Linked DNA regions of Cricetulus griseus. The protein of the gene in region 2 purifies or fractionates together with the protein of the main gene of each other region. This does not show direct contact. Links are inferred from orthologs where the notes say so. Each region holds a gene or a part of one and is shown on either strand. Other genes may lie near its edges.

Region 1 (4,213 bases), on a different chromosome or scaffold from region 2:
CCTTGAAATGTTAGGGAAGTTACATCCATGAAGTCTCAACAATATGGCTGCCTAAACAAGTCTTCAACAAGGATGCCAACACTAACACAAAAGGGGAAGTCATGGGGCCTCAACCTAGACAACTACAGGCAACTAAGGAATGCTGAAAAAGTCTTTCCTAATAAGTTCTCTACCACCTGCCTCTGTCTCCCGAGAGCTGGGATTAAAGGCATGCACCACCATTGTCCAGAGCAGATTATATTTATACACATACAAATATACAATGAAGCCAGAGGCCACGAATTTGAGAATGTAAGGGGAGGGTTACGTGGGAGAGGTTGAGGAAAGGTAAAGGGAAATTATGTAATTATGTTCTAATTTTAAAAAGATAGTAAAATATTTTTTCACTACTATTGTGCAGACATAATCTCAAAGTTCATGTGGCAAATGTCTGATAATGCCAAGTACTTGACAACAGTCAAGCTGTATCTGGCCCCAAACTCCTAAAACTCAATATAAAACAATCTGTTATTACAGGGGAAAAATTGTTTAGATCAGAGGCCAATAAATGTGCACTCAAGATGTTATCAGTGACACAACTGGACGTTCATCTGGAAAACTCTTCCATCATATCACTTAAAGTTTATTGAAGGAATATATACCTAAAGAGAAAGCATTTTAGAAAAGTGAATTTTGAGACAGGGTCTGGCCTTAAATCACAAAGGTCTGCTTGTTTCTGCCTCCCTTGGTATTGAATTAGTGTGCACACTTCCTAGTTGGTTGACCTTAAGACTGAAAATTATCGACACGTTTCTTTACAGAAAAACACCAAAGCCGTGCGTTGGTGGCACACGCCTTTAATCCCAGTACTCGGGAGGCGGATCTCTGAGTTTGAGGCCAGCCTGGTCTCCAGAGTGAGTGCCAGGATAGGCTCCAAAGCTACAGAGAAACCCTGTCTCGAAAAACCAAAACCAAAAAACAAAACAAAACAAAAAAAACCACTAAACAGTCAAAATGAGAAATTGGGGAAGCTTTCCATTAATAAATTTTATTCAACTTGACATCAGATGTATAAATTAAAACAAACAGAGACAGGATTTTTGCCAGTTAAGTGTCATAAGACAGTGGAAAGATAGAGGAAATGGCACCTTGGTATAGTGCCAACAACACAAAGTCTCATCTGGCTTCATCAGAATTTAAAGCATATACCCCCTGGGAAAGCTACTATGCATACAGCCAAGCAAGGCATAAAACAACATTTTAGCAGTATTGTGTTTAGAGGCAATGAGAGAATGCAATTTGAATGTATTGTAAAGGATCACTGAATACATTACATACAGTATGAAATGTACACTTAGGAAATGCAATATAGGCATTAAAAGGAATATTGTTGAAAAAAATGAGTCCATATCTCCTTGACAACATATGCATGATTACATTTATATAGGACATTGAGATTAAGGGGCAAATTCTTTTTATACCTTTAATTTTAAACATGCTATTTCCCAAGCCAATTAACAAATAAATAATTACACAAGAAAACTGGGGTTCAGATCTGAAAGTCCATAGCTCAAGACACAGTGAAGGACAGCAACCACCTGAAGAAATAGAAAAGGGAACTAAGGACAAGCTGGTAAATTGACAGTTTAAACAAGAGCTAGGCAGAGGGCTTTGCAGGATGACTTAAAAGATATGACCAGGACACATTAAAGAAGGAAGTACATAAACATATAGGCTACAATTACGTACATTACTTGGATTCTCTGTTAAACTAAAAGCAGTTTCAAAAATAATCCTAAATGTTTTAGACAACCCTTGTTATCCTAGAGTCAGAACAACCAACATTCAAATGAGGTAAGCTATGAAAAGTAAAACAGCCTTTATTGAAGAGCAAGTAAACACTGTATACTATGTACAGGTGGCACATGGTGCCAATTGCATTTGCCGATGTAGTGTAGTGGTCCACTTGAGTTATGCCTTTGACACAGCCTTGGACAAATTCTGAACTAGTGTACAATTCAGCTGTGCCAGAGTGCTGATCTTAGCATGCTTGGATGTTGCATACTTGTTCTTGATAGTCTGTAAGAGAAAAGCACTATAATCAGGGAAAACAAAAACCATCCCACTGGGGTGTGTACATGGAGGGATTAGAGGGAGAAAAGAGATTGGAACAATGTATTACATTTAACTTCAAAGATGAACATAAAACCAAACCTCTCCAAGCCAACCTCTAGCTGGCTTCTCCCTGTCTCCAGAGTGCTGGGATTAAAGGTCTTAAACCAGCTGTGAAGTTTCAATGAACTTACCATGTGCTTTGTAAGGCCACGGTTCACCATGACTACATTCTTAGCCAGGTGCTGCATGACAGGCAGAAGGGATTCTTCAGTATAGGACAGGTAGTGCTGCAGGGTCGGTGTCTAAGACAACAACAAAAGCATGTTAAAACACCAGCCACTTCCAGAAAACTGTTCTAGATGCTATTCAAGAGTCTAGCAGGTAGATAGTGAACGGTAAACACAACTGAAATTTAAATAAATCATCTCTTTGCTCAGGTGTGCTCCTCCGAGAGCCTGTGCTTCAATTTAACCATAGCATTATAGATGCTGGCTTTTCTACCCCAAGGTCAGGACAGCATCTGGTACATGAAGAATGCGTATGGGTCTTAGACCACTTGGTGTAGCTTTCATGTGTGAAAGGATTAACAGACAGACTCCAAAAGGGTGTTATCAGAAAGATGAAAAACCTGAAGAATGGAAGCATTCTAAGTCGGATGGCACCACATTTTCACCACCATTCATTTACTCCTATTGAGGAAGCAGAAGGGCCACAAGGGCAAAAATGGTGCATTCAAAGGCTGTTTACAATTGGTTTGGAGACTGCTTACCCATTCACCGTTGTCAAGAATTTTCAGTGCTAAGCAAAAAGCTCCAGCTGCAATCTGAGAAGGAGCAAAGTGCACCATGTCATAGTCCAACATAGTGAGCTCCATGAGGTATTTGGCCAAAGTATGCTGTTCAACGTCAACCTGAAACAGATCCACATACATACCACTGAGCGTCTTTTGCAGTTTTGCTTTTGCGCTAACTTACAAAGCCCGATCTGTGACTACAAACTCTCAAATACAATGGTCCACAGAAGGCTTTAAGAGTAACCATATAATATCCAACCTGATTAGAAATAATAACAGCCATATCCTTCTCCCATGTACTTATATATCTACCGTATTCTCTAATATAGCAAAATAAAAATTTCAAGTAATGTGTACCTCTCCAATCTTAGAGGCTCTACGGAGGAAGTGCAGAGGCAGAGGGCGACCCAAACTGAAGTTTAGAACTCTTAGAATCTTCATTTCCATCTGTCTGATTTGGTGCTTAGTGTAAGTATTATTAGTCACAAAAGCGAAGTCACCTATTTCTGGAGGGTACATTTCTTCATATTTGCTTGCAATAAACATGGCAGTCACACCAACTAGCTGCAGCATCTTCTTGGGTACACAGTTATCCTGCAATTGAAATGTCAATGAACATGTACTTGAACATCTCAACTGGTGGCACCTTATCTCCCTGTAAAGACAGATACCTGCCTACCATGTAATGGGACCCTGGGTTTGACTGTCAGTGTCCACTCCCCCCTCCTCCAAGAGTCTTCTAGAACCCGGGAATGAAGAACTCTCATTACTTAATTACACATACCTGCATGAACCGGTCAATAATGGAAACAGTCATGTACATAGTCTCTTGCAGCAGCCTAAATTTCATTTGAACCTGTATCAGCCAGTCAATTAGGATGGCTCTCATGTTTCCAGTGACTTCACGGCCCAGTAGATATCTTGGTCTAACTGATTGTTCTTCCTGCAAAAGAAAAATGTCATTTATCCTGGAAGCATCACTCTATACGCCATTTGTGACCACAAAGACCAATTAACTAATATAAAACAGCTCCATGGCAAAGCTTTATTAAGAAAGCAAGGATTAAAATAGCATGACAGGCTTTTCATATTAAGATATTGTGACATTCAATTAACCAGTGGAAAGCAGGCCCACACTTACACCTGTCATAATCTCAGATCAATATCGATTTTACTAATTTCACTTTGTGATATAGAAAAAATTAATCACTAAGTTATATATCAGCTAGAATTTAGCTGATCTTCCAGAGGTCCTGAGTTCAATTCCCAGCATGCTAGCTCAACCATCTATAATGAGATCTAGTGCCCTCTTCTGGCCTGCGGGCA
Region 2 (5,227 bases):
TTGAGTGAAAGAGAAAGTTGCAGGTGGGAGCTTGCTGTGTGTGGTACACAGGTGGCTGACAGAAGTCTTTTTCCCTCCACCATGTGGATCTTAAGGGTGAATTCAGATCTTCAGACTTCTCAGCAAGTGTATTTACCTGCCAGACCATCTCACCAGCCCTAAAGCTGGTTTTTATTAGACAGAAAATATATCAAATATTGTTTTGCAGGAAGCATTCGAATTTAAAAAGCCAATAAGACCTGCATCTCGTGGCTGCCTGAATGCCCATGTACATGAGGAGAGTAAAGATTTCTTCACACACAGGCAGAACTCAGCCCCAGCTTGTATGGTATGTGTTGTGGCTTTCTGTCATGGGAAGAGAGTTTTCAACACTGCAAACATGTATGCTTATGTGCATTAGTACATGTTGTATCAGCATAGAGTTTATTAATGCTGAGCCTATGGTACATGCCTATAATCTAAGCACTTGGAAGGCAGAGGGAGGATGATCAGGAATTCAGGTTTATTCTCAGCTCAGCCATGAGCTCAAGGTCAGCCTGGGGCTACATGAAATCCTTTTTCAAAAAGAAAAAAAGGCAAGTTTACTGTTATTGCTAGGTGTGGCGACTCAAACCCAACATTTGGGAGGCTGAAGAAGGCTGTGAATTATCTGGAGTTACCTCTTGGCAGGTTAGAAAGTTTCATTAGAAAAGTTGATTTATTTGTCAAAGGATGTGTTAAGAGACAGAATTTAACTGTAGATTCCCCAGTTCATGATAACAGTTTGAGATTATATCTGAAATAGAATATATTTGATGGATGCTTGGGGATCAGAATGCCATGATTTTCTATGATTGCTTGATCATTAAAGGCACAGATGCTGAGGTGCAGACTTTTTTTTCAGATTTTTCTTTTATTTGTATTAGAAACAAGATTGTTTTACATGTCAATCCCAGTTCCCTCTCCCTCCCCCCTCCCTCCATCCCCCCAGGTGCAGACTTTTTAATTTATTTATCCCTGCAGGCCAGACTAGGGTACCAGATCTCATTAAGGGTGGTTGCTGGGATTTGAACCCAGGTCCTCTGGAATAGCAGCCAGAGTTTTTAACCTCTGAGCCATCTTTCCAGCCAAGGATGCAGACTTTTAAAAAGCCAGTGAAAATTTTATTGATTTAGCTTTTGTTTGGGTTGGGATTCTTATTTGCTTTTTTTTTTTTTTTTTTTGAGACAGGATCTCTTAAAATCCCAGGCTAGCTTCAAATTTGCTATGCAGTTGAAAACTGCTCCTGTCTCTGGGATTACAGGTGTTTGCCACCACAGCCAACTTATTTTCCAGGTTTGGGTGTCAAATAGGTGAGGTAAATGATCTTGGTAACCTTAAGCATAAGTTTCCTTTTATTAAACAAAAATCAAAGGATTCTTTGGGTATGTTGGTACACATAGTCCCAGCTCCTCCGGCGGCTAAAACAGGGTGGAGTCTAGGAATATTTAATCTCAAAGAAAAAAAAGGATTGACTAAAATAGTATGTGCTGTGACTTAAATGAGATTATAGTTGTAAAGATTTTGTCTTAGTGTCTGAGACATTATAATCTCTCAATTTAAAATTGGGCAGCTGTGTTTTATTTAAATCATTTTTACTTTTAATTATGGAGTGAGTAGGCTGTTTATGAGTACAGATGGCTGAGGAGGCCAGAGGTTTAGGATCACAGAAAACAGAGCTGTCTAAGGTGGATACTTGGAATCAAATCAGACTTTGAGCTTCTGCAAGAGCCATGCTTGCTGTTAACCTCCAAACCATCTCTGTAGCCCCAGCTGTCATTTAATCCAGTGTGCACTTGTGATCTCAACATTTGAGGGGGTGGAAGAAAGGTTCACAAGTGTTGGCTCACCCTGTCTCCAAAAGTAAGAAAGGACTGGGAAAGGCTTTAGAACAAGTTCTCTTTGTTTCCATCTGTCTGAATGGGATTTACATAGGTATTGTTCAACTTTCTTTGGTATACTATTTTATGGTAGAGACTGGTATTTCCAACAGATTGTGCACTGCCACAGCTTGCAGTTAGACTGCAAGAAGAGCTCAGAGGCAGTGGTGGTGCCAACTTTAACCCCAGAGGCAGGCTCATCTCTGAATTTGAGGCCTGGTTTACAGAATGAGTTCCATCCAGGACTGCCTAGGCAGCAAAAGAAACCCCGTCTTAAAAGGGAAAAACAAAGTAAGAGCTCAGGAGCTAGAGAATCCAATGTCTTCTTCTGATCTCTGAGGATGCCAGGTTCCCACATGGTGTACAAGCTTATCTCTTTTTTTGAGCAATCCAGCTAAGCAAATCAAAATGGACTAGAGTTCTTGCTAATTTTGTCTTTCAGCTATCTTCAAATGAAAGTGATAACAATGAATCAGGACATTTCAGTCCTCTTTTTACATCCCAGTCCCCTGTGAAAGCCACTTTGTCTGATGAGGATGATGGCTTCATAGACCTTCTCGATGGAGAGAATCTGAAGGTATCATCTGTGGGTGTGAGGGTGTGCCTACTCATTCTAGCTACCACTGGAGAAGGCTCCTAAGTAAAAACAGCTCCTGGAGTCTCAGCTGGCTGATTGATTTGTGAGATTATTGGGACTCTTCCCTGCTTGACTAAATCCTATTGCAGGGGGAGTAGTGGCGGAATGTGTGCTTAGGGTGCGCAAGGCCTCAGGTTCAATCTCTTGTACCAAAAAAGGAGGTGCTAGCCTTCCCTGGTGGTAATGCCTGTAATCTCAACATTTAGGATGCTGAACAGGATTGCCATAGCCACAAATTAGGCCAGCCTGTGCTACAAGTAAGGCTCCTCCCCAAAAACAAAACAAAACAAAAAAATGTATTCAGGCTTGTCTGGCACTCTTTAGGAGAGTTAAATGCAAAGCATTTATTAATCTCAACTGGGTCCTTTTCTTCTTCCCAGCCCCTCCACTGGATCTATTTAAAAACAGTTTTTTCTCTTGCTCTAGAATGATGAGGAGACCCCTTCGTGCATGGCGAGCCTCTGGACAGCTCCCCTTGTCATGAGAAGACCTACAAACCTTGTAAGTTACTCCAGTATGTGGAGTTTTCAGTAGTTGGCCGCTGAACAAAGTAGTCCATAACTATGTTGACTGGAATAATCTAGGACTTGTCATTCAAGTGATCAGATTGTAATCGAGGTGGCTCTGTCTCTTACCCTAAGGGCAATCGATGCAGGCTGCTTGACTCCTCTTCCCCGTGCAGCTCCAGCAGCAGCTCCAGCACTCGGGCAATGTTGAAGAGAACAGAGCGCTCTCGTGACGAGTCCCCTCGAGGAAATACAAAGCGGAGGAAGAGCATGGCCAGTCCTGTAAAGGCAGATAATCTAGAGCCAACCCAAGAGGTTAGTTTTGCAAGTTCTCCTTTGGTCTACAAAAACAAAGTGTTCTTAATTGTTGAACCATCTCAGCAGTCCTATTATGAGATGTTTTTGGTTTGGTTTGGGGTTGCCTGTTGCTGAGGATTGAACCTATTCAAGAACTTGGTCAACAAGCTCCTTGTCCACTCCTATTTTCCTCTTTGGTTTTGTTATTTGAGGGTAGGGGCACATAAACAGTGCACATGTGGATGTCAGAGTAGGACTTGGAGACCTTTCTCTTTTTACCATGTGGCTCCCAGGCTTAGAACTCAGCAGCAAAGAGACCTTAAGTTGTTGCACCTTCTCACTGGCTCCTGTTTATTTTTAAGCTACATTCATTGTAGCTACTTTTGGGGGCGGGTTTATTGTTTTGAGACTGTCTCACTATGTAGCCCTGGCAGTCCTAGAACTCACTGTATAGATCAGATTAGCCTCATACTCAGTGATCTGTCTGCTTCTGCCTCCAGAGTGCTACATATTCTGCTTGTTTCACCATCTTTTTGCTTTTTACCATTCTAATACTGGGACAGTTGGCAAATGTTATTTCACCCGACTGTGTTCTGATGGTTGTTTTTATCTTTTAGGAGCAGGTTCTCTTGTGGCCTGGGCTGCCTGGTGCTATGTGGTTTATGGTGGCCTCGGAACTTTTGATTCCTCTGTCTTGATGTCCCTAGTGCTGGAATCACAGCCATGCCTGAGTTTTTGTTTGGGTTTGGATTTTTTGTTTGTTTGTTTGTTTGTTTGTTTGTTTCGAAACATGGTTTCTCTGAGTAGCTTTGGAGCCTATCCTGGCACTGACTCTGGAGACCAGGCTGGCCTCGAACTCAGAGATCCACTTGTCTCTGCCTCCCAAGTGCTGGGATTAAAGGCGAGAGCCACCAACGCCCGGCCACCACCCACCATTTTATTGGTCTTTTTAAACATTTGTGTGTGGGGGTGTGCACATGTGCCATGGTGCATGAGAACCTGTCTATAAAACAGAATGGCTAAACAGGGATAGATGTGATGTTTCCCTTTAAGGCAGAACCTATGTAGCCCAGGTTGATCTTAAATTCATGGTTTTTCTGCCTAAACCTGCTGAATGCTAGGGCCTGTGGTTTCTTACTGACTTTTTCATTTTTGTTTTGTTTTGTCTTTAAAGATGTATTTATTCATGTATTTATGTATGAGTGCTCTGAATGTACACCAGAAGAAGGAATCTGATCCCAATATTGATGGTTGTAAGCCACCATGGTGGTTGCTGGGAATTGAACTCAGGACCTCTGGAAGAACAGTCAAGTGCTCTTAACCATTGAACCATCTCTTCAGCCCAACTTTTTCATATTTTTGAGAAAAGATTTCACTCCACACCCTGGACAGCCTTAGGTTCACTGTTTCTCAAGTGCTGGGATTAAAGGTGTAAACTACCAAACCCAGCTTCTGTATTTGTTGTGTGTGCATACATTCTAGTGAGTGTGTAGGTCAGAGATTGGCTTTCCAGGAATCTGTTCCCTCCTTCCACAATATGGTCCTGGGAGTCTAATTTAGGTTATCAGGCTTGGCAGCAGGCAACTTTACCCATTGAGCCATCTTTTTTCTTTTTCTTTTTTTTTTTTTAAGATTTTATTTATTATGTATACAATATTCTGCTCTGTAAGAGCAGCCGGTGCTCTTAACCTCAGAGCCATCTCTCCAGCCCCCATTGAGCCATCTTGATGACTGTTTTTTGTTTTTTCGAGACAGGGTTTCTCTGTGTCTTTGGAGGCTGTTCTGGAACTAGCTCTTGTAGACCAGGCTGGTCTAGAACTCAGAGATCTGCCTGCTTCTGTCTCTGGAGTGCTGGGATTAAAGGCATGAGCCACCAACAATCTTAAGGT

What was found.
Region 1: the proteins of Cdc25a (region 2) and Ccnb1 purify together in Homo sapiens (affinity purification with mass spectrometry; 3 studies listed by BioGRID, with this or other methods). This does not show direct contact. The link is inferred for Cricetulus griseus from reciprocal best matches to the Homo sapiens genes CDC25A and CCNB1.

What each region holds. Positions count from the first base shown.
Region 1 is NC_048595.1:319,286,468-319,290,680, forward strand, and holds the end of Ccnb1 (G2/mitotic-specific cyclin-B1), read right to left. Parts: intron 3,831-4,213; coding exon 3,672-3,830; intron 3,482-3,671; coding exon 3,245-3,481; intron 3,005-3,244; coding exon 2,864-3,004; intron 2,397-2,863; coding exon 2,286-2,396; intron 2,059-2,285; coding exon 1,951-2,058; 3' UTR 1,007-1,950; downstream 1-1,006. UniProt on the Homo sapiens protein: Essential for the control of the cell cycle at the G2/M (mitosis) transition.
Region 2 is NC_048597.1:217,356,998-217,362,224, forward strand, and holds part of Cdc25a (M-phase inducer phosphatase 1), read left to right. Parts: intron 1-208; coding exon 209-328; intron 329-2,340; coding exon 2,341-2,475; intron 2,476-2,961; coding exon 2,962-3,036; intron 3,037-3,176; coding exon 3,177-3,356; intron 3,357-5,227. UniProt on the Homo sapiens protein: Tyrosine protein phosphatase which functions as a dosage-dependent inducer of mitotic progression. Directly dephosphorylates CDK1 and stimulates its kinase activity. Also dephosphorylates CDK2 in complex with cyclin-E, in vitro.